Linked DNA regions of Mus musculus. The protein of the gene in region 2 interacts with the protein of the main gene of each other region in a pairwise test. Links are inferred from orthologs where the notes say so. Each region holds a gene or a part of one and is shown on either strand. Other genes may lie near its edges.

The links.
Region 1: the proteins of Amotl2 (region 2) and Myo5b interact in binary tests that used the Homo sapiens proteins (3 or more experiments, as listed by UniProt). The two-hybrid records come from large-scale screens. The link is inferred for Mus musculus from reciprocal best matches to the Homo sapiens genes AMOTL2 and MYO5B.
Region 3: the proteins of Amotl2 (region 2) and Thra interact in binary tests that used the Homo sapiens proteins (3 or more experiments, as listed by UniProt). The two-hybrid records come from large-scale screens. The link is inferred for Mus musculus from reciprocal best matches to the Homo sapiens genes AMOTL2 and THRA.
Region 4: the proteins of Amotl2 (region 2) and Gcc1 interact in a two-hybrid assay, tested with the Homo sapiens proteins (2 studies listed by BioGRID and IntAct). The two-hybrid records come from large-scale screens. The link is inferred for Mus musculus from reciprocal best matches to the Homo sapiens genes AMOTL2 and GCC1.
Region 5: the proteins of Amotl2 (region 2) and Krt20 interact in binary tests that used the Homo sapiens proteins (3 or more experiments, as listed by UniProt). The two-hybrid records come from large-scale screens. The link is inferred for Mus musculus from reciprocal best matches to the Homo sapiens genes AMOTL2 and KRT20.
Region 6: the proteins of Amotl2 (region 2) and Rad51d interact in binary tests that used the Homo sapiens proteins (3 or more experiments, as listed by UniProt). The two-hybrid records come from large-scale screens. The link is inferred for Mus musculus from reciprocal best matches to the Homo sapiens genes AMOTL2 and RAD51D.
Region 7: the proteins of Amotl2 (region 2) and Zgpat interact in binary tests that used the Homo sapiens proteins (3 or more experiments, as listed by UniProt). The two-hybrid records come from large-scale screens. The link is inferred for Mus musculus from reciprocal best matches to the Homo sapiens genes AMOTL2 and ZGPAT.

The regions. Positions count from the first base shown.
Region 1 is NC_000084.6:74,701,119-74,704,618, reverse strand, and holds part of Myo5b (unconventional myosin-Vb), read right to left. Parts: intron 3,175-3,500; coding exon 2,935-3,174; intron 1-2,934. UniProt on the Homo sapiens protein: May be involved in vesicular trafficking via its association with the CART complex. The CART complex is necessary for efficient transferrin receptor recycling but not for EGFR degradation.
Region 2 is NC_000075.6:102,716,617-102,720,603, reverse strand, and holds the start of Amotl2 (angiomotin-like protein 2), read right to left. Parts: upstream 2,801-3,987; 5' UTR 2,702-2,800; intron 2,212-2,701; exon of another isoform or gene 1,891-2,211; intron 524-1,890; coding exon of another isoform or gene 462-523; coding exon 1-461. UniProt on the Homo sapiens protein: Regulates the translocation of phosphorylated SRC to peripheral cell-matrix adhesion sites. Required for proper architecture of actin filaments.
Region 3 is NC_000077.6:98,765,785-98,769,506, forward strand, and holds the end of Thra (thyroid hormone receptor alpha), read left to right. Parts: exon of another isoform or gene 1-2,372; coding exon 2,373-2,741; 3' UTR 2,742-3,222; downstream 3,223-3,722. Other genes in the region: Nr1d1 (nuclear receptor subfamily 1 group D member 1), read right to left, coding at 2,436-2,635, 3,265-3,475.
Region 4 is NC_000072.6:28,418,925-28,422,857, reverse strand, and holds the start of Gcc1 (GRIP and coiled-coil domain-containing protein 1), read left to right. Parts: upstream 1-1,133; 5' UTR 1,134-1,541; coding exon 1,542-2,573; intron 2,574-3,557; coding exon 3,558-3,933. UniProt on the Homo sapiens protein: Probably involved in maintaining Golgi structure.
Region 5 is NC_000077.6:99,435,354-99,439,341, reverse strand, and holds the start of Krt20 (keratin, type I cytoskeletal 20), read left to right. Parts: upstream 1-1,188; 5' UTR 1,189-1,244; coding exon 1,245-1,655; intron 1,656-3,826; coding exon 3,827-3,909; intron 3,910-3,988. UniProt on the Homo sapiens protein: Plays a significant role in maintaining keratin filament organization in intestinal epithelia. When phosphorylated, plays a role in the secretion of mucin in the small intestine.
Region 6 is NC_000077.6:82,887,825-82,891,917, reverse strand, and holds the start of Rad51d (DNA repair protein RAD51 homolog 4), read left to right. Parts: upstream 1-1,293; 5' UTR 1,294-1,498; coding exon 1,499-1,580; intron 1,581-1,886; coding exon 1,887-1,948; intron 1,949-2,107; coding exon 2,108-2,226; exon of another isoform or gene 2,227-2,249; intron 2,250-4,093. UniProt on the Homo sapiens protein: Involved in the homologous recombination repair (HRR) pathway of double-stranded DNA breaks arising during DNA replication or induced by DNA-damaging agents. Bind to single-stranded DNA (ssDNA) and has DNA-dependent ATPase activity.
Region 7 is NC_000068.7:181,364,154-181,368,222, forward strand, and holds the start of Zgpat (zinc finger CCCH-type with G patch domain-containing protein), read left to right. Parts: upstream 1-1,269; 5' UTR 1,270-1,518; coding exon 1,519-2,099; intron 2,100-4,069. Other genes in the region: Arfrp1 (ADP-ribosylation factor-related protein 1), read right to left, coding at 158-245, 452-544. UniProt on the Homo sapiens protein: Transcription repressor that specifically binds the 5'-GGAG[GA]A[GA]A-3' consensus sequence. Represses transcription by recruiting the chromatin multiprotein complex NuRD to target promoters.

The DNA.
Region 1 (3,500 bases), on a different chromosome or scaffold from region 2:
AACCCAGCCAGAGGTGGCAAAGCCTCCCTGAAAGCAGCTTCAATCTCAGCCAGGCTTTTTCCTGGCTGTGCATCCTTTGGTTGGTTACTTATCCCCTCTGTGCCCTTAAGTGCACTCATGGTTAAAATGGAGATGATAGCAATACTTATCCCATAGGTGTGGTGAAGATCAGTGGGTTAAGGCATGGGTACAGTGCCTGGCATGAAAACCACAAGGGAATCAGTGTGAGAAAGATCTCACATGTTCCCTGATTACCTGCTGTATACAGGGAGCCTTGCCCAGGGTGACAGCATCTGCCACTGCTCACAAATGTTTGCCGAGCAGAAAGCTTAAGGCGAGAGCTTTATTTAAAAATAGGCCTTTCAAATCTGCTTCTCTCCGACGTTCAAGCACGTGGGGTGGGAAATACCGTGTTATTTTTATCCTCTGGAGTTGACCTCACACACCAGCAAGGCCAATACTGAGCACTATCTGAAACCAGGGCCCAGGGGGGGCCTGGGTACACAGATGCTCCTCCCTAGTAGGGACAGTGGCTTTAGTCGCCTTGTCCTCTGGCCACACTGTGTCTAGAAAAGTGACTCAGTGGTCACTGGCACTGACAGTCCTGACAGAAACAGGGGACACCGTGGTGCTTTGTGTTTTCACAGACCTCTCCCTGACTTGCTGGGTCACCACAGGCTGACCAGGGTAGGAAGTGGGCATCCCCAGCTCACACTGGGAGGGCTGTCTTTTTATACTGAGCATTTGTACCGGCTGGTTTTGTGTATAAGCTCGACACAAGAATCACCAGAGAGGAAGGAGCCTCAGTTGAGGAAATGCCCCCATGAGATCCAACTGTAGGGCATTTTCTCAATTAGTGATCAGCGGGGGAGAAGACCAATGGATGGTCCTATCATGGGTGGTACCGTCCCTGGGCTGGTGGTCCTGGGTTCTATAAGAGAACAGGTTGATCAAGCTATGGGGAGCAAGCCAGTAAGCAGCACCCCCTCCATGGCCTCTACATCAGCTCCTGCCTCCAGCTTCCTGCTCTGTTTGAATTTCTGGTCTGGCTTCCTTTGATGATGAACTGTGATGTCGAAGTCTAAGCCAAATAAACCCTTCCCTTCCTGACTTACTTTTGGTCATTGCGTTTCATCACAGCAATAGTAACCCTAACTAAGACAGCATCCAAGCCAACACTCTGGGTAACTCCAAGAGAACACATACCCAGGGCACTGGCTCTTCCACAAGCCTGGTCTCTGCCCAGAACAGGAAAGCAAAGTGCCCCATTGTCAGCTGTCTCCACACAGGGGCTCATGTGTAGGACAGCTAGCTTAGCCAAAAACTGGTTCATTGTACTGGAAATGTGACTCAGTTGGCAGGATGCTTGCCCTGTGGCATGAAGCAGGGGTGAGCCCTAGCAGGGGATAAAACTGAGCCTGGTAGCCTACCACTGTGCTTCCAGCATTTGGGAGGTAGAGTCAGAGGTTCAAAGTCATTTTTGGCCAGAAATGGAGTTTGAGGCTAGCCTGGACTACATAAAAGTCTATCTTTAAAAAATAATACCAATAAAAACAAAAACAAAACAAAATGACTCACCTATTTTCCTGCCCTCAGGTTATGAGAAGCTCCAAAAATGCCTACTATAGCATGAGTACATTAAGATCAAGTGTCCCCACTGCCACTGCTGCTCTCCCACTGTCATGGCTGGTCCCCCACTGTCATGGCTGATCCCCCACTGTCATGGCTGATCCTCCACTGTCATGGCTGATCCTCCACTGCCACAGCTGGCCCCCTATTGCTATGGCCAGTCCCCCACTGCTATGGCTGGTCCCCCACTGCCAGGTTTTTCTTTTCCTCACATCCACACCATGTGCGCCTTCATCCTTTCTCTCCTGAGTCTACATGACCTCAAAGAAGGCAGTATTTTACGCTTGCCTCAGATCCTGTCACAGAACTCCATCCATAGTGGGCATTGACACACTGCTCATCCAGCTGGTTGACGTGCGAAGGTAGCCAGTGCAGAGTTAAAAAGCCTAATCAATGCAATACCAATGTCATATCAGACAGGATGCCAACATTTACCTCATGGGGACCGTCATAAACAAAGAGGGAAACACGGTGTGGGTCCACACAGCCATTGCTGTAGCTATACTGTGAAGCCTCTGGAGAGGCAGGGCCTCAGGACTCTGGACGAATCTATCAATTTCTTATTGCTCCATTAAAAAGTACCATGGAGGGCTGGAGAGATGGCTCAGTGGTTAAGAGCACCGACTGCTCTTCTGAAGGTCCTGAGTTCAAATCCCAGCAACCACATGGTGGTTCACAACCATCCGTAATGAGATCTGACGCCCTCTTCTGGTGCATCTGAAGACAGCTACAGTGTACTTAAATATAATAATAAATAAATCTTAAAAAAAAAAGTACCATGAAGCTGGTGGCTCAGAACAATGTAAGCTACTATTTTGCAGCTCTGGAAGGAGCTTCTAAAGGTGGCCAGCAGGACTGTGGTTGTTTAGAGACTCCAGGGGAAAACCTCCCACTGTTATCTGTAGCTCCCAAAGGTGGCCTGGATACTGGAGCCTGTGGCTCTGCATCCTGCTCCCCAATCCTGTCTGCAGCTTTCTCTCGTGAGCACGCTATGATCCCATGGGGTCCACCTGGACAGCCTAAGGCCACCTTCCCATCCAGACACCTCTAACATATGCACTCTTGCAAAGCTCCTTGTTGTGTGTGAGAGAGCACATTTGTAGATCCCGAAGATTGGGGCGTGCTGCCTTTGTTGGGGAGTGACACTATTCAGTGACTATGTTCAGCAACTATTCTTACTGACTGGGCAATGCCCCTGAGGTCTCTGGTACCTGCAGCTCCCTGAGAAAGCTTGGGGGTCCATCTCAAGCATGTCCCAGTATCCCCTAAGCTTCGACACCCATGTAGGAGACTCCTACCACTGACCTGGTCATCAATCTTCCGCTGTAGCTGGACGACTTTGTTCTCCATGCCCACGTTGAGGCGTTTCAGATGCTCTGCCGAGCGGGCCTCAATCTTGAGGGCCTTCAGCTCCTGCCTGGCCTTGAGTCTCCGGAAGGCACACTGGATGACAATGGCTGCATCCCGCTCCCGCAGAAAACGCTTCCGTGCCATCCAGCCTCGGGCGTACTTCTGGATGATGGTGGCTTTGTGCTCCATGAGGACCTGGTGAGGATGAGTACACATATCCTGTGGGTTTGCTCTGCAGGATGGGGACAGGTACAGCTTCTGTAACTACGGGGGTTTGAAAGCTGGCCTGGCCTTGGGTTTAGGAGACCATGCATATGTGGCCTGTAACATCCAAGGATTTGATGGAAAGTTTTAGCTAGGTTCTGTAGACCTTGTGTACACAGGAGAGTGGCTGACAAACTCTTGTTTCTACCTTTATTTATTAGATAGATATGGTTTGAATAGGAATGGCCCCCGTAGACTTGTGTGTGTGTGAATGCTTGCTTGGCATGGCACTATTAGGGGGTGTGGCCTCGTTAGAG
Region 2 (3,987 bases):
CCATGCCTCAGCTCTCGAAGAGCTTCATCCTGTCGCCGGCCGCCTCCGGACACCCCTCCTCTAGGATCCCGGTCCCCAACATGCGGCCGGGACCCTGCCTGCTGCGCTGCGTAGTACTGCGAATGGGCTTTGGCCTCCTCATAGGTGGGCAACTCTTCTCCTTTGCTGGGCTGTGGGCACAGCCGGTACAGCCTGTTCTCTGCCAGGTGGGTCTCTCCACCCTGATGCTCCTGGCCCTGGGGCTCCTGCCTGGTGGCTTGCTGCAGCACCTGACTGTCCTCGGGTGCTCCGATCTCCAAGGAAGCCTGGGGGCTCCCCGTGCCCCCAGCTCCAGCCCCACCCCGCAGGGCCTGCTGCTGGATAGCCAGCAGAGTGCGAGTCTCTGTCAGGTTGCCGTAGCGCAGCTGCTCTTGGATGAGACGGTGCAGGACTGTCCCTGAGGAGTCTTCCAGTGTCCTCATGCTTCTCTGGCTTGCACACACCTGCCTAGACAATGGCCAGCAGGCACCTGGTCTCAGAGCACCTAAGAGACAGAAAGAATAGCAGTCAAAGGAAGCACAAACAAAGGAGGGAGGGGCACTTGCAGGAACACTCTGGATGAAGGAGGAGGCTGGGTGGGTAGGTGGGTGGTTTTACACAGGCCCAGATGCAAGTGCTAATATGGCCATCTATTGATTAAGTTTAGTTACTGAGCTTCTGATCCTTAGTTTGCCATTAATATAAATATATATATGCATATATGTATATACATACATATATATGTACACACACACACACACACACACACACACACACACACAGTGTGTCTCTTGGAGTTGAAATGTAAGAAGCTGAGCGCCTGGTATGCTATAAATCCTTGGCAAATGCTTATCATTGTAACATTTATGGAGATTTAGCTGATCTTACAGATATACAACAGAAAACCAGAAGGCTATCTCATATCACAGTCCCCGGCAGTCAGCCATTACCCCAAACAATCTCATGGGCAAACTGTAGGACAGGCGTCCATCAAATTCAACCACTTAGCAATAGGGTTCCCAGTTTACTGGCAGGCGGTAAAGAAAGAATGTAGCCCAGCAGAAAGAAGCCCTAAGCAAATAATTCCATTGATTCTTTAGAATAAAGACGCGTGAGCCAGACCCTGGGCTCAAAGGCTGCTGATAAAATAAATCTGAGTCTCCCTGTCACAGATGACCTTAGCAGCCACTCTGCAAGGTGAGCAGCACAAGAAGCCCCATGGAAATTGGTGAGGAGGCAGAGGGGAGCTTGCAGTAACTGAGCCAGGGAAACATTTTCCATGACCACCAACCTCTTTTCTTGGCACACACATTTGCTACTTAGAAAAACCCCTCCCTACGTGTATGCTAGAGGCACACAGGGGATGATCCCTCTGCATCTCTGTTGATATTAGTAACAACTACCTATGCCAGTTGATGGGGTAATGAGGCGAGGGGGGAGACAAAGGAAGGGGGTGGTGGCCCCTTTCTGTGCCATACTAATGCTAGCCCCCTGTCCTACCTCAGTTTGGGAATGGTATGTTGGCAGAGCTGGAGAAAGGTAATGAGCCCTGACGATACCCAAGCCAGCAACTAATCCTCCCCCCCCCCCCCAACTGCACCCTGCAATGTGTAAGACTTGAAGAGTCTGCTCACACGCGGCTTTTTCTACGCGGTATTTCCTAAGTTAATCACTGTCTGGGCTGACTCGCGCTAAGGATCCGGGAGCGGCTAGAAGGAATGCTGAGCCTTCCCGGCAGATTCCAGGCGCGCCGACTATGAGCCAGGCTCTCGGAGCACCGAACATTTCCGAGGCCTTTCATCGCACAAACGTCCCAATCGAATCCCCTAGATGCACAATCTTTCTTTCAAATACTTATATAAGAGCACTTACTGAAAATCAACTTCCTTACACGGGCGCTGTACCTGGGCTGCACTGGAGCGCTGCACTCGGAAAACCAGCCACCTTTCTAAGCAAACACGGGTCTCTGGCCTTGGCCTGGGCTCACTCCAGCAAAAGGAACCAACGCTAGTCTCCAAGTCAACCAGGCCAGTCCAGGGTCCCGGCGTTACTCACCTCTACCGAGGCAGACCACTAGCACCGGTGGCTGCCCGAGCGCCCCGGGCGAGCAAAACCCGCAACCGCGAGAGGTCTTTAAGCATCGCGGGTACGCCTCTCTCCCTAACCCTCTTTGTTTTCCAAATACTTCAGCGCTGACGTCACCGGACTGGACAGCAGGCTGCATTCTTTCTAAGTGAGAGCCAGTTCGTGGCTCCGCAGAGGATTTTCCAAGGAAGACAAAGAGGAATTCTTGAGCTAGCTGAGGGTAAAAGCCACCTGTATCCCCAATCCAGACAAAGCAGCCACGGTAACCTCATAATTCAGCGAGATATGCCTACCGCAGCTTTTCACTTGCCCCGCACGCGAGACGCACACTCCCAAACACTGATCCTCTGTCCTTCCTCCAGCCCCAGTGGGTCGGAGAATGGTGTCCTCACCCCCACAAAAGCGCGAGCAGTCTAGGCTAGACACCCAGGATCGATCCTCGAAAGGGTTCACAGTCTCCCCTCCCGCTCCCGGGGAGGCTCGTCCACCCCAGCTCCGATCTCCAGAAAGGGTCGGACTGATCGCGGTGTCCCGCTGCTGCTGGGAAGCGTCCCCGCCGGCCTCGCGCACTGCCCGGAGTGCCCGGCACCTTGCTTACCGCTGCGGCCCGCGGCTGCCGGCGCACGCAGACCCGGTTCGGCTTAGGTACAGTCAGCAACGGAGGTGCGCACTAGTCGGTGGCGCCGATGATCTGCTTGCTCGCGCCCCAGTGCGCAGCCTCTAGGTCAGCCCGCGCTGGAGGCGGCTGCTATGCCAGGAATGTGAGAGTTTCAGGTTCCCCCTCGGGATCAAAGCGAACCACAAATAACCTCTCAGCGCGCCGCCCTCCTCCGCTCTCCGCCTCCCTCCGCTCCCCGGGCCAGCCCCCGCCTTCCTCCCGGGAGGCGGCGCTGCGGCTGGCCGCTGGGCTGGCCTCAGCCTTGTCCCCTTGCCACTCTGGGCTCTGGCGGCCGTGCGGCATTCATTCCCTGCCACCCTGCTTTGTGTCCTAGCTGTTGGGAGTGTCTTAACCAACTCGTCCCAAGATCGCCCCACCACTGCCCGCACCGGGTTCTCACCCTCCATTCCTACAGGCACCGAGGGACGACTCCAGGGATCAGCCTCTCACGCCCCTATGGTGGCTGTAAGAAGGGTCTGTGGCGTTTTGGAAATGGCGGGAGGACTGCACAGCAGTTCACATCCGCCCAGCCTTGACAGTGTTGCAGACGAAACGATGTTTCGGCCCGCCGCTGCCCAGCCTCTTTCCTAACTCCTACTATTTCACCCCCCAGCGGCAAACTTTGAATTGCACTTTTATTGTTTACAAACACCTTGGCCAGCTCTTTTAATCCTGCCTCTACAGGAAGTGTGTGAATCTGGGTTGAAAATCTGGTGGATTTAACCCACTACCTAACTAAATGAATCAACCACTCACTGGGCATTCGGTCCAACTCCTCCCTAACTCCGCTCATCTTTAAGCCAAGCACGCGGCGGGTCACCACTTGCTTTTTACTCGGCCATCCGACTCCAGTAACCCTCCGACGGTGCTCTTATCATGTCTGTAATAAATAAGAAACCAAGGTTCAGAGAGTCTAAACAACTTGCCTAGGGTCACACAGAGAGTAGCCAATGAAGCCAGGTCCCTTTTCTTGGTCTTCAAAATCCGGTCTCCGTAACCTGACAAGGCAGAGAGTCTCTGCTTCCACCTACCTGTCCCGAGTTTCAGTGTCTTTTCCACCTCGTCTACACCTAGCCAACCCTCTTTGTCTTCCGCTTCTCTGGCTTTTGGTGTGGAATCGACTCCTTTGTCATTTGGACCCTTCTACTTCCCCAGGAGACTCCTCCAGCTTAGCTGCTCTGACTCCCTCCCCTCCCCGCCCCCCCCACCCTCTTTCTGGTTAGAGC
Region 3 (3,722 bases), on a different chromosome or scaffold from region 2:
ACATAGGGCAGGTTGGCATGCAGTGGGGGGTGTTTCTATCAGTGGCACTTAGCTGGGGCCCAGGGGAGGAGACAGTTGGCTCTCCTCCCATTTTTTTTGAAGCTCTTTAGGCCAGCCACCCCTCTGCCCCTGGGAACCCCTCTCCCCTCTTCTTTTCTAATTCAGGGACTTTGGCTTGAGCCACCTCCCACCCTTTGGTGAGGAGTGCTCTGTTGGTCTGCACTTGGGTGAGCTGCCTCCTCCTCCTCCTCCTCCTCCTCCTCCTCCCTTTGGCTAACAGCCCACTCCTCTGCAGAGAGAGAGAGAAAGAGAGAGAGGGAGGGAGGAGGTGGCCCTCCCAGAGTGGAAGGGAAGGGAGGAGGAGGAGGAACAGAGCAGACCAGTGGCCCTGGGCTCAGGGCTGCATGTCGGCAGGGATGGATGGGTGGACATAGATGCCCCCCGGAAGCCATGGGGAATGGGGCAGGGGGCGGGGGAGGGGTGCCAGGGCTTCCTGCGCTTTGCACTATTGGGGCAAAAATGTCTTAAGCAGTGGGGAACCTGCCACCCCACTCTGACCCTCAGCCTGCCACAGCCCCTACACACACACACACACACACACACACACACACACACACACACACACACACACACACACACACACACACACACACACACACACGTGGAAGGCAATGCTTTGCTGTTCCCAGGCAGTGTCCTTTGCCACTGTTCAGGTGTTCCAACTGGGCAGAGGGCCTGGAGGAGCATCTCCTGTCACCTGTGCATGTGCCTGCCCCACTCCTTGGGGCCCCTGGGCCACCTGTGCTATCTTCATCTCTATCTTCTTTTCTCTCTCTCCCGGGGTACTGATTTCTGTATTCCTCCAGTCCCATGGATAATACTCTCATACTTCCCTCCCATACCTGGGGACTCAGTGGAGTTCCTGACCTGCCTGCTGTCTCCCTTCTTCCCCTGACTCCACTCCCCTCCATTCCCATTCTCAGCCATAGGCATGGCCTCTTATAGGCACTTGGGAATTCCCCCCTCCCCCCAATCATATGAGCTGTGAGCCCCTGCCCCTCAGCCCTTCCCCTCCCCCTCAGTGATGTGGAGTGTATGTGTGTGTTCCTTCGTGTGAGTGGATGAGTGAGTCTACGTTGTGGGAGGAGCCAGAGAGACTCAGGAGTGCCACGCACCTGCTCTAGAGAGGCAGCTGTCCCAGTCCCTGCCATGGAAGTGGGGGACAGGGCCCTCTCCTGGGGGCCATTGGTGCTAATGGGGGGATGGCCTTGGCATGGGTGCTTAGCATGCCTTCCCCCAATGTTGGCCCGGGGCACTAGGGCAGGCCGGGTGGGGCAGCAGGTGCAGTATTGATGGGAGGGGTGGGTTGCTGGGAGAAGGTTGGGGGGGCCAGGCCAGGACAAGGGGGTGCCAGAGCCATGACCACTACCCTGCCCTACCACTGCCTCTCCATCTCAGTATTCCCCCCCCCCCATCACTTATAACACACATACCTCATCCAGCCTCCTCCCTGCTCAGACTTGGGGAGGGTGGGGGAGGAGGAGCCCCTACCCCTTCCCCGGGCGGTGGGCTGGGAGAGAGCAGGGCGTGTGACATGGACACCGTCCGTCCATCCATAAGGGGGAAATTACTTCCTGCCCTAGGAACTCCTGGGTGGAGGAGGGGGACACTACCCAGAGGCGCTACTGAATGTATGAGAAGCTGGTGCTGAGGTGGGGGGAGGGGTTGTGGCTAGAAACAGGGAAGGAGATAGGTCCTTTCCCCAGAGATGGGTGGGACCGGCAGGGGTGACTTGAGGGGCTCCTCCTCCTGCCCCACAGTTGACAATCAGTATGTCTGTTATGTGCGAATTTTTCACCCCGTTGTGTTTTGGGTCAGGATTTTAAAGAAAGATATTTTTATGGTAATTGTTGCTCGTCTATTTTACTATATATTTATGTAATAAATATATGATGAAAATAACCCCCTTGGGCACCCCCCCTTAGACTTGCGTGCTGTTTCCCCATATTCTCCCATCTGCTGGCAGAGTACCCACCCCACAAGCTGACCAGATGGAGAGGTGTCTTCCCCCCCCCCCACACCCCCTTGGCAGTAGTCCCCCACCCCCACCCCAATTCCCCAAACGAGCACACATCACAGAAGCCAGCTCAGCTGTGAACTATTGGATTTGAGACAGGAACAGAACAAATCGAGGGGCCAGAGGAGGGTGGAGAGAGCAAGAGTGGTTTAAATAGGGGAGGATGGGAGCATGGCGGTGGGGGTGGGGGAAGAGTTATTTACAAGAAGGCTCAGGGGGCCAGAGGCTCATCTTGGAATATTTTATAACAATATAAATAAGATTCTGGTTTGCTTTTCCTTTTCGTCTCGTAAAGGAGAGAGAAGTGCAGAGTTCGATTCTGTACAAGGGGGCAGCGGCAGAAGGCCGGCCGGGCGGGTCACTGGGCGTCCACCCGGAAGGACAGCAGCTTCTCGGAATGCATGTTGTTCAGGGTCCGCAGGTCCGGCAGCTTGAGCAGCAGCTTGGTGAAGCGGGAAGTCTCCGAGGGCCGGTTCTTCAGCACCAGAGCCCGAAGAGCCCGCAGCAGCGTCTCCTGGAGCTGCTCCACCGAAGCGGAATTCTCCATTCCCGAGCGGTCTGTGGGGAAGACGACAGCAGTGAGGCGAGCTCCCTGAGCTCCTCCTCTGACACGGAGGACACGGAGGTCTGCGAGGACCAGGCAGGCAAGGCAGCCTCTCCCTGAGGCCCCTCGGAGGGCAACGGGAAAGGAGAAGGAGGGCGCTACTCCTTCTCCCTGGGGGGCCTCTGCCCTAGAGCGGGGCCACGCCCACACGCTGGGAGCATGGCCACAGGCTGGCCACCTCCCACTCCTCGAGCCCACCCTCCTACCCTGAGCATGCCACTCGTGGCCAAGCTCCCTTGTTATTTGCTCTGTAGTTCCCTCTGCCTGGGATGCCCTTCCCCCTCTCTATGCCTGGCAGTTATCTTGTCCCTTTGAGGCCCCACATCAAGTGTCACCTCCTTCCCCAGCTCTCCCGGGCAGAAATAGTCGTCTGTGCTTACTTGGTTCATGCTTCTTGTGTGACACTTCTCGCTGTTTTATAATTAGTCGGGCATGAGTCTGTTTCCCAAGCTAGACTGTGTCTGAATCATGTCTGTAGCCCAGTGCCCAGTGCTGGGCCTGGCATAGAGTAGGTTCTCCATAAAAGGTATGTTGAATTGAACTGCGTGTGCCTCCTCCAGGGTCAGGGGAGAGCTTGGCTCACCTGCAGAGACAAGCACCACCGCGGTGAATAGGCCCAGCTCCTCCTCGGTAAGTGCCAGGGAGTTGAGCTTCTCGCTGAAGTCAAACATGGCATTGAGCAGGTCGCCCATGCCCATGGCACCGAGCTCCTGCAGACTGTAGGTTGTGCGGCTCAGGAACATCACTGTCTGGTCCTTCACGTTGAACAACGATGCAAAGCGCACCATCAGCACCTGAAGGGAGGGTGGACATTTTTTGAGTGAGATGGGAGGGGCATTTTGCCAAATGACCCCTAGAGCCTGCTAATAACTTTGAGGGGTGTTTCCTTAGATTGTCAGTAAGGGGGTCAGTCTCTGATTGGTCAATGAGGGATGCAGGTGGGAGTGCCCGCCACTTCTGGAATGTAATTTAACCGAAGGTCACCAGCTCCGGCCTAGAGTAGAGGAGAGTTGTCTCTTTGGTTACTCTGATGCACTGAGT
Region 4 (3,933 bases), on a different chromosome or scaffold from region 2:
AGGTGTAGCTCTCAGAGGACAACCTGTGGGAATATGTTCTCTCTTTCCACCGTGTGGGCCCTGGTGATAGAACTCAGGTCAGATCATTGGGCCTGGGTGGAAAGTGCCTTTACTGCTGAGTCGTCTTACAGTCCCCACAAGAGTCTTGATGGAAAAGAAAAAGGAGACTTGATGGTGTGCTCTTGAGATGAAAATCTTTTCATGTCTTGTCACCTAAGGTAAAATCTAAATGCCTTTAAGTTGGGTCCTTTGTTCCAGCCTCATCAGTAGCCACCCTTCTCCCACACCATAAGCTTCCTGGGCAAGTTAGGCTCACTGATGCCTGACGTCCCTATACACCTTTCCACTTTCCTCCATGCTGGTTTCCCACATCTGCATTGAGCTTGGCAGTCTACTCATCTCTCAAACTTCAAATCATTTCCCCTAAGAGTCTCTGTCCTGGCAGGTGCCTCATCTCCTTTATACCACTTCTGCAATGCCCCGACACACTAGTGTGAAGGCAGGAGCTACCTGTTTGAATCTCTGTGTCCTTGCTGTTAGGAGTTTCTTGGGACAAGGCCATGCTTCTTCAGTAGTGCTATCTGGCATAGCATGTAGTATGTTGAGAGGCAGACTGAGATAGGACTCCTAAACTTCCTAGCTGAGTGACATTGGACATGTTACCCCTCTGTACATTTTACTCTATGTTCCCGTAAGTGTAACTCTTGTGACACAGCCCTGACCCCAGCATATGCTGGTATGCAAGATGGGCCTTATGGCTATATAATGCCCCTTTTACTAATCAGAACTAAGGGAGGGAGCTATTATGCTTTACGTTAACCAGGTACCGGCCTCGTTTTCCTAGTATGAGTCCTAACTGTTGCCCCAAATGTTGGACATTGCCCCAAATAGTTTGATGCGTCTTTCATCTATGTTTTTGGGGCAAATGCAGTGCGACGTCGCCCCCTGTCGCTCACTGGTGGTAGCTTGAGGGCAAAGTTAGGCATCTCCAAACCACTGCTCAGGTGCTTGCTCTAGACTTACCTACGGGTTACTCCCTCTCCAGGCCACCAGCAGACACGGTGCGGAAGCCCCACCCATCTCACGCCCACGGCGGGGCGGGGTCTGTGGCGTTTTGCTGCCGTCACTTCCAGGAGACCCGGAAGCGGTGCTGTTCCAGTTGTTGGGAAATCGTGATGGAACCCGGCTTAGTGTAAACCCTGGGCTTATCGTGGGCGGAGGGAGGCGGGTCTAGGTTGCGGTGGCCACAGGAGCGGCTAGGGCGGGACAGGCTCAGGGCCTGTACTGGAGAGCCTAGGCTGACTGCTCCTGCTAGGTCAGCGTCACTCCGCCTCCAGGTTGGAACTGGCTCCCACCTTCGGCCTGGCTCCTGCAGTGCTTTTGCCTGGCCACCGCGGCCCCTCATCCCGCCCGGACCGCTGGACGGACCGGGTGTATTGCCTGCAGCCAGACGGTTCTCTCTGCTTCACTTTTAGCTGTCCCTGTGGCTCTGCCCAGGGCTGCAAGAACGTTGACGTGGAGCGGTCCACGCCAGAACCCCCATGGAGAAGTTTGGGATGAATTTCGGGGGCGGCCCAAGTAAGAAGGATCTCTTGGAGACCATCGAGACACAGAAAAAGCAGCTTCTCCAGTACCAGGCAAGACTCAAGGATGTGGTGCGTGCCTATAAAAGCCTGCTGAAGGAGAAAGAAGCCCTGGAGGCCAGCATCAAGGTACTGTCGGTATCCCACGAGGCGGATGTAGGCCTCTCAGGTGTGCAGCCTCCAGGTCTCACGTTTCCTGATTCTGTGGATGACCGGTGCTCCACTCACAGTGAGGACAGCACCGGAACTGCCACTAGCTTGGATACCGCAGCCAGTCTTACAAGTGTCAAGGGTGAATTTGGGGTTGAAGATGACAGAGCGGCCCGTGGACCACTTCCCCCAAAGTCTGAAGAGGCCAGTGGGTCAGAGAGTGGCGTTAGTAGTAGCAGTGGGGATGGGCCATCTGCCGGTAGTGAGATGGACAAAAGAGTGCATCAGCTGAAGACTCAGTTGGCCACTTTGACTAGCTCCTTGGCGACAGTCACTCAGGAAAAGTCCCGTATGGAGGCGTCTTACCTGGCGGATAAGAAGAAGATGAAGCAGGACTTAGAGGATGCCAATAAAAAGGCAGAGGAAGAGCGGGGTCGCCTGGAGGGAGACTTGAAGGTGCTGCAAGAGCAGATAGCAGAAACCAAAGCCCGCCTCATTACACAGCAGCACGATCGTGCCCAGGAGCAGAGTGACCATGCCTTGATGCTGCGCGAGCTTCAGAAGCTCTTGCAGGAGGAGAGGACCCAGCGCCAGGACCTGGAACTTCGCTTAGAAGAGACCAGAGAAGCCTTGGCAGGGCGGGCATATGCCGCTGATCAGGTCGAAGGGTTTGAACTGCAGACCAAGCAGCTGACCCGAGAGGTAGAGGAGCTGAAAGGTGAGCTGCAAACCATTCGAGATGAGAAGAACCGACCAGACCCCCGGCTGCAGGAGCTTCAGCAAGAGGCTGCCCGTCTTAAAAGCCATTTCCAGGCCCAATTGCAGCAAGAAATGAGGAAGGTAATTATTCTCATATCCTTCAAATAGTCATTTTAGCTTACATAGGAAATTATTATTTTTCTCTTCTGGTCATTAGATAACTGTAATGCATCCCTATGTGTGTGTGTGTGTGTGTGTGTGTGTGTGTTTGTTTCTCTGTGTGTGTTTTCATGAGGCAGGGTCTTACCATGTAACCCAGTCTGCCCTTGAACTCACAGGGATTTGCCTGCTTTTCCATACCAAGTGCTAGGATTAAGGGCACCCCTCTCCCCACTTAAGGCAGGGTCTTGTTTTAGTCAAGGGATGCCTGGTGAGATAGCGTGAGTTGTTAGTGTGAGTACTGGGACTTTGGTCTGGTTCCACATTCCCAACATGCATAGTGATATTTGATGCCAAGTGAAAAAATTGCATCAGTGAGTCCCGTGAAGTGTGGCTTTGTGTGGTGTCCTTCTAACAGGATGAAGAGTTCCTGAGTATTTCTGGGTTCAAGCCAGATAGCTCTATCTAGGCCTTGGGTGTTGGCATCTTACCAGCTGTGCTGCTTGAGGTGATACAGTGACAGCTGTGTAGGGAAAGCTTGTGTGTATCCTGAGAAGTGTGTGCTTCTAGGTAAGGTGACTGGAGGAAGCAAAGGGGATTTTCCCCAGAAGAAATGCCTTGTGTATACGCTCAGGTGAGGTTTGCCTCAACTGTTTTATAGTGTTCCCTTTCAGTAGAGAGAGGGATCTAGGTTGGGTTTGAATTTACAGGCATGTTGGGAAAGGGAAAGAATGTTACACGGTTTCTTTAAATGATTTGGCTAACAGAAACATACTTTGTATTCAAGCTTAATGAAGAATGGAAAACTATGGTAGAAAGGGCACTTCAGTTAAAAATCCCCAGTTCCCACTTGTTCTGGGTTATTCCAAGCCCTGTTCACTTCTCTGTCTCCTCCCCCACACCCAGTTGACTCTAGGGGTTTTGTGACTTTCCTGGATGCCTTGTCACCTGTTCTTTGCTTTGCAGACAGCCCTTGCAGAGGACCAGCTCCGCCAGCAGTCTCAGGTAGAAGAGCAGAGAGTAGCAGCCCTGGAGAGCCAGATCTCTGAGGTATCTGAACTGCTGGGCACCTACGAGAAAGCCAAGCAGAAAGACCAGCTGGCCATCCAGAAGCTGAAGGAGCGACTTCTGCAGCTGGACCTGGAGAACAAGACACTGGCCCTCGCAGCCTCTAGCCGGTCCTCCCTTGACATCCATGGCGACGAATCCAGTCTGGATATCAATGTCTTGAAGGACAAGATGGAGAAGCTCAAGAAGCTACTACAGGTTGCAGCTAGGAAAAGCCAGGTGACCCTGGATGTGGAGAAGCTCTGCGACCCTGAGATAATGGCCAACTCCGAGG
Region 5 (3,988 bases), on a different chromosome or scaffold from region 2:
GAGTTTCGCAGTAATTTAATGTTGCTGTTTCTTTTTTAAGAAGCACTAGATTTAAAAATATTTGCAAGATTCTTATAACAAGTTTGTTTTTGTTTTTGTTTTTTTTTTTAAATAAGGTCCCCTTGCTAACCTAGATGTTCCTGGCAGTTGCAGGCTGCTGGGAGCCAGGCAGAGGATCTATGACCTCTGACAGGCTGCTCACACACCCAGTCCAAGGCCGCACACCCACAAGCATACAGGCAGCACTAATTAGATCCAGTTGGTTATTTTTAAAAAGAAAAAGATAAAAAGAGGTATGAAGTTTGGGTGGGGTTGTGTTAGGCGCTTCGGAGGCAGCTGGAGAGGCGAGTGGGAGAGGAGTTTATCAAGATACGCTACATGTGCATGGATGAAATTATCCAAAAATGCTATTTAAAATATCTTTTTTTAAAAAACTCCAAAATCAACTGACCCACCGCCCACCGATAATCATTTACATATTCACCTACTGACCGTATTCAATTCTTAAACGGGGGTGGGGGGAGCTGCACTTTGAGACAGTGTCTTGTTACACAACACTGGGCTAGACTGGAACACCTTACTTCAACCAGGCTGGCCTCAAACTAGTCCTGATCCCCCCCACCTCTGACTCCCGGGTGCTAGAATCTCAGGTGCACACCCACACACCCAGCTTCACTCAAGACATTTCAATAGACTGTAAATATAAATTCTAAACAAGGATAAACTTAAAAGTAAAAAAAAAATTTAAAGAAGCATAAAACATTTTTTAAAAGAAAATCATTTGAACAAGCCATTGTCTTTTCTCACCAGTGTGACTTATATTATGTTCCCACAGCTGTCTTGTTCGATGCCTGAATTATTCATATAGATTGTAAATATTCTTTATTTGTATACAGGATGAAAAAAAAAAAACCTGCCAGGGCAGGTGCAAGACCTGAAAGGACACCCCTTCCTCGTCCTTTTTGTTATCTCTGTTTATTAAAAAGAAACCTCCACTCCCACCACCCCCACAGGAAAGCCTTTAAAAAGTGCCTCTGGTAGAAATTTCTGGAATGGAATGAAACGTATTGCCGTACAAAAGAGGGGGAAGGGGAGACAGGAAGGTGGACTGTGTCATTCCTGAGGTGACACGGCAGCAGAGGAGGAGTCTCTTGAACTCTATAAAAGGTCATCTCCACAGCAGCCCGAGACAGACAGGCTGTGCTCCAAGTCCAGGCTACAGGCGTTGCCTCCCTACATCCCAGATGGATTTCAGTCGTCAAAGTTTTCACCGAAGTCTGAGTTCCTCCTCACAAGGCCCAGCACTCAGCATGAGTGGCTCGCTGTATAGGAAGGGGACTGTGCAGCGTCTGGGGGCTGCACCCAGCGTCTATGGTGGGGCTGGAGGCCATGGCACTCGCATCTCTGTCTCCAAAGCCGTAATGAGCTACGGGGGTGATCTCTCCAACGGATCGGACCTGTTTGGGGGCAATGGGAAACTGGCAATGCAGAACCTGAACGACAGATTGGCAAACTACCTAGAAAAAGTGCGCTCCCTGGAGCAATCCAATTCCAGACTTGAAGCCCAGATCAAGCAGTGGTACGAAACCAACGCGCCGAGCACCATCCGAGACTATAGCTCCTACTACGCACAGATTAAAGAGCTGCAAAATCAGGTGAGCCATGAAGCCTGTAATTTCTACCTCACTGTTTAGTTGCCTAATGGATTGAGAGATGTATGCTAGGTGAATTCGAACACATGAAGCAGATTAGGTTGAAATGTATAATTGAAAAAAAAATGTATTTTATCATGTGGTATCTGTAAACAGGATGAGTCTAACTCACATTTTTTCTAAAACTTCAACTAATTATATATAAAATATGATCATTTTATCATCCAAAATTGCAGTTCAAATCTTTGTTATGGCTTACAATATAAGGTCTTCATTGTGGATAATCTTATTTTTCAAAGACCTCCAATGGTTTCTATATGTGAGTTTGCCAGTAGTCTTTACTAACTTTGAAGACTCAAGTTGATTTAAAGAGATTTTTCATCTTTCATTATATGAATGTTATAACAAATATATTAACCTACTATGGGTATAAATAACAAAAGGGTTCAGGGTGGATACAGATTACAGATATTAATGATATGTATACTGATTGATAAATAGTTGTGTGATAGGGGATGGATGGATGGATGGATGGATGGATGGATGGATGGATGAACTGCTCTTTGATACAAGATCTGTGTATCCCAGGCTAGTCTGGACCTCACCATCCTCCTGCCTCCACTGCCTCAGCACTGGGGTTAAAGAACTGTGCCACCATACACGGTTCTGATACCTGGATTTTTTAGTGTCTTATTTAATTATCTCCTCACTATCACCAAGCATTTTATAATGCACCTCTGTGATAATAAAATGTTCTATTGCCCCCAATTTAAGTTTATTACAGTCATATCACAATCTGTTCCTGTGTCATCCATGGTAGGTGGGGTTCCCCTTTCTATAAAGCCAATGGAATAAAAGTGGGAGACTTCGCTCCTGACTGAGGACCTCAAGCATCGGCACACACCATTTGCCCAGCCCCGGGGTTCTTATCTCATCAGGAAAAGCCTCCCCTTGGGTTTTGTTTAAATCTCGAAATGATTGCAAAGGCCTTTAGAGCAAAGACCTTTGTCTTAACCACAGGCCTCTTGTCTTGAGTTCTGTTTGAATTACAGGCATCAATGCAGCTTAATTCAGACTTCATAGCCCATGAAGCTGTGTGGTGCTTACATTGCCCTTCTCATCAACAGGACGGTCCTTCAGGCTTCTCGATACAACACAAAATTCAAATTAAGCACTTCTCTCATGGTTGACGCTTTTGAATTGACTTGGGGATTACCCATAGTACTTAGGCACAGCCATTAGTGACCAGTGGTTAGGGACCTCTCTCCAGGAATAGCCGCTGAAAGGGATATGTCTAAAATCTTCTAGAAGTAGACTTCTAATCTACTTCTTAATACGGTGTTTGCCTTGAAACATGAGAACCTGACTTCAGTCCCCAGGTTACAAAGCAAAGCTGTAGAATGACTGTGTGTGCTTGTACTCCCAGCATTGGGAAAACAAGCAGATTCCTGGGACTTGCTGGTCAGCCAGCCTGGCCAACTTGGTGAGTTCCAAGACAATGAGAGACCCTGCCATACACACACACACACACACACACACACACACACACACACACACACAAAGGTAGCACTTAAGGAATGGCATGTAAGATTGTCCTCTGACCTCCACATACATACACCTGTGCATATAAACATGTACACACAGAGAGAGATGCACACAGATCCAGGATGTATCCATCCTTCTGTCCTGCGCCTAACTCCTACAGATAGCAAGTGCTTTAAGTGGAAACAGGCACAGACCACAGAAACCATCACTCAGAGAGGTAGATGCAGGGATGCTGTGCAGGGCAACAGCCACGGCGGCGCATTCGCTGCTATAACTGGAAGATATCATGGAGGGGCCTTGAAAGTGTTGTCTGAGCTGAGAGGTGAGGAAGCTGGAGCTCACCAAGTGAGAAGGGATAACAGCAATGTTCCAGTGTGAGCAGCGCCACAGACAAGGCGCTCACAGAGGCCCAGTGATGTGGGTGGCTTCAGCTCTCATTTTGTACAATCAGGAAGGAACTAGGCCAAATCATGACATGAATACCTCTGTCACTGCTCTTCCATGGTCATTTGCGAAATGGGCATCACTTGTGATTTAATCACAGTTGTCTCTGAGGACCAATAAAATGATCTTACACTCCTGCCTGCCCAGGGAAAAATGTCATTCTTCCTTCCTCTCACATTTCCCAGGTTAAGGATGCTCAAGTACAAAATGCCCAGTGCGTCCTGCGAATTGACAATGCTAAGCTGGCTGCAGAGGACTTCAGATTGAAGTAGGTTCTCTAAACCACGGTAAAAATATGTCTTGGGGGTGTGTGTGTGTGTGTGTTGTTTGTATGCATTTGTATGTAT
Region 6 (4,093 bases), on a different chromosome or scaffold from region 2:
AGGTCACGTTTGTGGTCACAACTACTCGGTCCTCTTCTGAGGACTTCAAAAGGCTTAATTGCCTGTGCCTCTTTAGAGCTGTCCAGGAAGGGGTAGCAGGCTAGTGGCACAGAGAACACCACTTGGCCTGAGCCAACCAGACTTTGAAGAGAAGGCCTTTGCCTACTGATACTTCTAAGGCTCTCTATCCTGGGATCTAAGCAGCAAATCCCACCATAGCCAGTAACGCAGGCACAGTGAAAGCTTACTGTGGGTTGTAGCTCACAGAGTAGCTGGTTTCAGGGCCAGGATTCCAAACACCTTGAAAGATTGAGAGACAATGGTGAACATGAGGAGATATTTCTAAAAATGAGCCCTGCAGCTGGATATGGACTGGAGATTCAGTTCTGTGCTTCCTATCTGTATAAATCAAAGAATAACAATCTTACTGAGCCCAAATTCCTTCAACTACAAAATACAGGCAGAAATAGAACCTCACTCGTGGGTTTTGTAAAACTGCTTTATTTCTTCCACTAGATGTGGTTAAAAAAATCAAAATAGTATTTTATATACTCAAGCATTTCCCTACTTCCATTAAAACCTCTGGAAAATGTTGGGCTAGACAAATGGCTAAGTGGTTAAGAGCACTGACTGCTCTCCCAGAAGACCAGTACCCACATGGTGGCTCTTAACCATCTGTAACTCCAGTCCAAGGGATCTGACCCTCTCTCTGGCTGCCTTGGGTACCAGGCATGCCAGGATTGCATAGACATCCATGCAGGCAAAACATCTATATACGTAAGATAGAACTTGATAAATTTGGAAAATATAGGGACACAGGTACTCTCTGTGAACTTCGCTGGATCTCAGCTTGATCATACAATCTGTAATGATCTGAATTGATCCACTTTCATTGTCTTCCTAACAAGAATGCTACTAGAAGTCAGGGATGCTTCACTCTGTAAATATTGAGTTAGGTAGAGTGAGTGTCCCCTAGCTTTGCAAATAGAGGCTGGTATACACAAGAGACTCGTTGGAAGACTCGCTGGACACACAAAATGTGTGTGTGTGTGTGTGTGTGTGTGTGTGTGTGTGTGTGTGTGTGTGTGTGTGTGTGTGTGTGTGTGTGTGTGTGTGTGTGTCGGTGTGTGTGCTTGTGTCTCTGTGCATGTATGTAAGCTCTAGGTGTGCTTGCAGGTGGCTGGCGCGAGTCGCAAAGCCTCTGTGTTTGCCCTCATGGTCAGCAGATGGCGCTGCAGGCCTGGCCTACAAAAGACGCTCCAGTCCCGGAACCCGGAAGCGTCGGCCGGAGGGGGCGGGCCTAGGGCGCCTAGAGTCTTGCGAGTTGGGAAGGGTTAGTGTCCCTCACCTCGACTTGCATCCTCTTCCCGCCCCTTCGTCCCGCGCTGGCACGCCAGGACCTTTTCCCTAAGTAGAACTGAGGAATGCCCAGAGTGGGGGACTCGGCGAGCGCCCAAGTGACAGAGAGCCCCCAGGGCATCCTGGGTTTGTAGGGACTATGGGCATGCTCAGGGCAGGGCTGTGCCCGGGCCTCACCGAGGAGACCGTCCAGCTTCTCAGAGGCCGAAAGATAAAAACAGGTGACCTCATGGGCACTACCCCGGGGGTCGGCACCGTGGTCGTGGTACACATACGGGGCCTTTTGCTCTAACAGGATGGCCGCACTCTTCCTCTGACTTTCTGAGGAAGCTGGGTTCGCAGGAGCCGAGGCAGAGGATTTTACTGAGTGCTGGGCCCTTTGCGGGGTCGGTCCTGCATCAGGGCCTGCGTGCTCGAGATAGGTAGTAGAATAAGACCTTAATCCCGTTTGACAACAGAGCAAAAGGCAAATGTGGCAAGGCTAAGCCATTCCTGCTGCCAATCACCTGCACCTGCTCTCTTTCCAGTGGCAGACCTGGCAGCTGCTGACTTGGAGGAAGTAGCCCAGAAGTGTGGCTTGTCCTACAAGGTGAGCTCGCGATCTGCAAGCTCCATTCCAACCCCTCTTCCAGCTGCGCCCCCACGCTGCAGGATCAGAGTTCCTTGGGATAGATGGGGGGGGGGGGGGGCGCTGCTCTGAGGGGGCAATCTGGCGGGCCTGGAGCCTGAGTGTCCGCCCTATTGGCAGGCCCTCGTTGCCCTGAGGAGGGTGTTGCTGGCGCAGTTCTCGGCTTTCCCCTTAAATGGCGCAGATCTCTATGAGGAACTGAAGACTTCCACGGCCATCCTGTCCACCGGCATCGGAAGGTTTGTATGCGAACCTGGACAAGGTGAAAGCAGAGACTGAGGCTTCAGAGGACGGGGCTGGTGAGGGCAGTCCAGAGCGGTAGAGGAACTGCAGGCGTGTGGACTCCTGAGTGTTTTTCCCTAGAGTAAAACTGTAGGGTTTCTTAGCCTCAACACAATTGATGGGGGGGGGGGGGGGGGAGGCAAGTCGTTATTTCCTGAGATAGAGATATCCTGTGCGTTGAGAGTCGTTTAACAGCATCCCTGGTCCTTCTCTACCCACCAGATGCCAAGATGCCCCCAGTTTTAATAATCAAAAAATGACTCAGTATCTCCAACAAGCTAACTTTTCCCAGTGAAGAGCCACTGTCCTATAACATAAGATGTCGTTAATACCCCCATTGTTTAGTAGAGTCCACCATACGTCAAAATAAAGCAAGTAGCAAGTGAGACCCGGGGAAGGATTGGGGTCCCGGGAGTCTGCACTTTTGCGCTGACATAGGCCAGTGGTTTTCAACCTTCCCAGTGCTGTGACCCTATAATACAATTCCTCCTGTTGTGATGACCCCCCCCAACCATAAAATTACTGCTTTGCTACTTCATAACTGTAATTTTGCTACTGTTGTAAATCATAGTGTAAATCTCTAAAAGCAATATAGTCGGATCTGCCACCCCTGTGAAAGGGTTGTGCAGTCGTCGGAGGGCTTGTGTTGTGACCCCTGGTTGAGAACTGCTGCCCGAGGTTATGGATGTTAGAAGTTATTGACCTCCCTTGTGGTTAGCCTAAGAAAGGGGCCAGCAGAGGTGAGCCCGGGGTTATCTGATCCAGAACCTGTTGTCTCTGCCATCTGAGGCAGCAGAGGGGAACGGGCATACTCCAAAAAGAGCAGTTACATTGTGCCCTGTTGTTCGGGTTGGGAAAGAATTGGAAGACAGCTAGCATTTTCTGGCCAAGCGAGTCTGACCTCTCTCCCGGCCTATTTGTGCGGAGCTTGATGAATAACACGGCCATCACAGAGGTCTTTGGATCGGTCTGGCCCTTGCTGTTTCCATAACACATTCTCTTGGCAAGGTCCGCACAGTCTGGTGCTTGCTCTCGCTGGTTGGGGGTCTGTGTTTGTAATCCATCAAACATTGGCTGAGTGCCTACTGGGTGCCAGACACATGCAGATGCTCTCTGGAGGAGTGGGGCTCAGGATTTTAACTTAATTCCAGCTGACTGTTCCGAGGTATACTTGGAGGTGAGAGGCCACTGTGAAAGCATTTGTAGGCTATGGGGCATAGCTGTGCAGGACAGACGGGCCAGCCAGCCAGGAGAGGCCAAACAGGGATCTTGTGTTGCTGGTTTGGGTTGTGTAAGTCTGAACCAGGGTTTGTGACCACGGAAGACATGTTGAAGGAGAGATGTGAGAAGAGAGACTTACTGTGAGATCAGGTGTAAATTTGAAGAGTCAAAGGTGGTGGTTTGCTGGGCTGAAGAGTTGGCCTAGTGGTTAAGAGCACTGACTGCCCTTCCAGAGGTCCTGAGTTCAATTCCCAGCAACCACATGGTGGCTCACAACCATCTGTAATGAGATCTGATGCCCTCTTCTGGTGTGTCTGAAGACAGCAACAGTGTACTCATATACCTACGTAAAAATCTTAAGGAAAAAAAGATGGTTTTAGATTTCCCTCCAGTGTGCTGTGCCTACCTAGTGGATGTAACTTTGAAACCGGGAAGGTAAGGCTATAGGCAAGGTTAGTGAAACTTGTGATTAGCATGCATTAAACCTGTTAAACAGGGTCCTTTGCTGTGGGCCTTCTTGGCGTGCTGAGGTGCAGCGTAAATCTTTGCAGGGCAGACACCGCTGTAGATGGAGGGATCAGTTATGCCTTGCAAGCCAGAGCT
Region 7 (4,069 bases), on a different chromosome or scaffold from region 2:
CCCCAGGATGGGACAAACCATTCTGGTACCAATCCTAGGGAACTTGAACACAGAATAGAAAGACAGGGTTTTGACCACTGGTCAGCTGGGTTGTGGACCTTACAGCATCCATCTCTAAGGGACCTCCTAAGATCATATCCCTAAGGTGCCCCCTTACTGTTTAGACCCACGGTAGTGGTGATTTTGGATAGACTCATCCCCTTGTAGTTCTTGTTAAAGCGTGTTTTTGACTGTTCCAGGAAAGTCTGAGGAAAAAAAGAGAGGGGGTTAGATAGCAGCAGCTAGAGTAGTTTTCTGGTGTCCTTCCCACCTATCCCTTCACACCCATGCAGCCATGCACGCCTCTGCCTGTGGCTTGATCTTCAGGAGGCTGGTGACTACTAACCTGTAGCCTTGGGGCGGGGGTTAGATCAGGCAGGGAATGGGAACTGGTGAGAGAGCAGGGACCTACCGTCTTCCCAGCATTGTCCAGGCCCAGGATCAGGATGCAGTATTCATCCTTCTGGAACATGTACTTGTACAATCCCGAAAGCAGCGTGTACATCCTGTTCTGGCACCCTGAGAGATGTCAATGTGTGTACCGGGGGCATCGGCCTCCTGCCCTGCCCGCTTCATCAGCGGTCCGCCTCTCCTGCTAGTTTTCAAATGTGTAGCCTCGCGGATCCTGACTCTTCGCCCCCATCCCGCCTCTTCTGTTAAAATCCCTGACCCTGATTCCCCCGATGCCATCGCTGACCACGTGCTAGACCTGGGCCACTCCCACTTAATGTCATCTTTCATAATGCACCATCAATTCGGAGTCCTGAAAAGCCCGTGGCGGCCTGCTCTGCTCCGCCTTCCTAAGGCTCCTCTTTCCGAACCCTCAACTCAGAACCAGGAAACGCGGCCGGCGACTTAAGTCTAGGAAGCGACCAGAGAGGCAGAGCTCCTGAGGAGGGTCGGCTTCGGCTTCCCGCCGCCGCCGGGCCCACGGAGCCTGGGAACCAGCAGCTGAAGCCACTTCCGTCCCCCTGTTCCAGGACTTTAGAACCCCGGCCCCTCAGTCCAGCTGAGGCCCACCCGTACCTGCTCAGATCTTGGAGGAGGAGCCGCCGCCGCCGCCGCCGCCGCCGCCGCGTTCCTAACCCCACCGACCTCACGCTGACCCCTCACAGTGCCTGACGGAACAAGGAGCGAAGGACGGAGCACGGGCGGAATCGCATCCCAGCGGCCCCCGCGCGCAGGTACTTCCGGCAGCTTCGGCTCTCCGGCGGAAGTGCCCGGCGGAGGGCAGAAGGCTAGCGCGTGAGCTTGGCTGGCGAGGGCGGAAGCCCTTCTAGCCTGCGAGCGCCGGCCGGAGGTGGGGTTGCGGGCCGCAGAGGACGGGGCGGGTGACGTGCAGGTCCCCCTCGGCGGAACCGCGGCCCTCCTCAGGCTCCCTAGCGGTTTTGGGGGCGGCGTTGCCCTGAGTTGTTCTTACTGCTCTTCCTCCTGTTTTTGTCTGCGGTAAAGGTTCCGAATCCTGCCTGCTGGGTCGGGATGGACGAGGACAACCTAGAGACTGCCCTGCAGACCTACCGGGCCCAGCTGCAGCAGGTAGAGCTGGCGCTCGGTGCTGGCCTAGACGCTTCTGAGCAGGCGGACCTGCGTCAGCTGCAGGGCGATCTAAAGGAGCTGATTGAGCTCACCGAGGCCAGCCTGTTGTCGGTCAGAAAGAGCAAGCTGCTGTCTACAGTGGACCAGGAGAGCCCAGCTCAAGAGGATGCTGAGTACCTGGCTTTCCAGAAGGCCATTGCGGAGGAAGTGGAAGCGCCCGGCGCCCCCTGCAATGACTCGGAGACGGCCCCTGGGAGCGAGGTGCAGCCGGGATCCACCTCCTCTGCACTGGAGGAGGAGGAGGAGGACCCAGATCTGGAGGAACTGAGCGGTGCTAAAGTGAATGCCCCCTACTACAGCGCTTGGGGCACGCTGGAGTATCACAACGCTATGGTAGTGGGCGCCGAAGAGGCGGAGGATGGTTCTGCGTGCGTCCGAGTCCTCTACCTATACCCTACCCACAAGTCCCTGAAGCCCTGTCCGTTCTTCCTGGAGGGAAAGTGCCGGTTCAAGGAGAACTGCAGGTAAAACCCTCTGCTGCTAGCAATGAAGGGCACGCAGTCGGGACCACCGCTGTGGCCTGTCGCCACAACTAGTTTGGCACCCAGCAGAGTTGGTAATAGAGTCCAAACCTTAGGTGACTGACAGGCTTTTACAGAAGTGTTCTCCGTGTGTTTACTTAGATTTTTCTTGCATACATCAAGAAGTTTGAAAGAGCTTATGTTGAAAAGATAGGGCAATCCTTCATCAATATTCTTCTCCAAGGTGTAAAACTTTTTTTTTCCCCTTTGAGATAGCAGTGTAGTAACTCTCGATGTCCTTGAATTCTTGATCCGTCAGCAACTCTACTACATCCTGAACGCCTTCAGTTTCCAAATGCTAGGATTACAGGTGGAGGCCACCACTTCTACTGGGCTACATCTCCAGCTCGGAACCTTTTTTCTTTTTTTCTCTTTTTAAAAATTTATTGACTATGCTGAGGATGGAATTAGGGCCTCCAGCACACCAGGCAACCAACTACTGTACACCTTAGCCCCATCCCAGCTCCTGTAGTTTGCATAGTCTTACAGAAAATTTCAAACACATAATCTCTTGCTGACTTGCCCTACCTTCCCCCCCACCCCCCGTGCTACTTGAAAGCACCTTTCACAAGTTACATCTTTTTCTCTCACCCTCAAATACTTCAGAATGTAGCTGAAATAATAATTACTAAAACTGATTTATGTCTTTTTTTTTTTTTAACTCAGTCATCCAGAATAACCCTCTAGTACTTTGAATTTATTTATTTTAGGCCACTAAAATAAAAAGATTTGTTCTATTATAATGGTAGTAGTGAACTAAAATTAGTTTCACTTGGCAGGATTTTAGGCAGGGCTAGAGCCTTGGAAGTCTGAGGGCAGAATCCAGAACCCATTTCTTTGTCCATTTTTCTTTAAGGTTGTTATTATTATTTTATTTTGATTTTTAAAAAAATATATTTTAAAGATTTATTTATTTTGCTGGGCATTGGTGGCGCACACCTTTGATCCCAGCACTTGGGAGGCAGAGGCAAGCAGATTTCTGAGTTCGAGGACAGCCTGGTCTACAGAGTGAGTTCCAGGACAGCCAGGGCTACACAGAAAAACCCTGTCTGGAAAAACCAAAAAAAAAAAAAAAATTATTTATGTATGTGAGCACACTGTTGCTCTCTTCAGACACATGAGAGGAGGGCATCAGCTCTCATTGCAGATGGTTGTGAGCCACCATGTGGTTGCTGGGAATTGAACTCAATACCTCTGGAAGAGCAGTCAGTGCTCTTAACCACTGAGCCATCCCTCCAGCCCCTTATTTTGACTTATTTATTTTTTACTTTTTTAATGTTTTTCTCTAAAGATCCATCGGTTGCTTTTGTCTCATTTTGTTTTGGTAAGGTGGTTTGATACATGGTCTCTATGTAATCCTGGCTGTCCTGGACTACATACAGCTATGAAAGGCCTTGGCTGGCCTTGAACTCACTACCGAAAGGCTGGGATTAAAAGTTTGCACCATGGCCTGACTATTTTAGGCTTTTTTGAGACAGAGTTTCTCTAGTAGTCCTGGTGGATTTCCTGGAACTTACTATATAGATCTGGCTAGCCTGGAACTCAGAGGCATGCACTACCATTTCTGGCTAAGATATATTTTTAGTTAGTGTGTTTGTGTGTGTGTGTGTGTGTACGTGTGTACGTGTGTACGTGTGTACAGGTGCCAGAAGAGGGTATAGGATCTCCTAGAGCTGGCGTTCCAGGTGGTGGTGGTGACCTGCCGAACATAGATCCTGGAAAACAAACTCAGGACTTCTACAAGAGCAGTATCCTCTCAGCCACTGAGCCATTTCTCTAGCTCTATGTATTTACATTTATCTTTAGATTGCGGTGGGGGTGGGGCATGTGTACAGGTAGGTGCCCAAGAAAGCTAGAAGAAGGTGTTGGATCTCCTAAAGCTGGAATTGCTCACAGAAAACATTAACCACTGA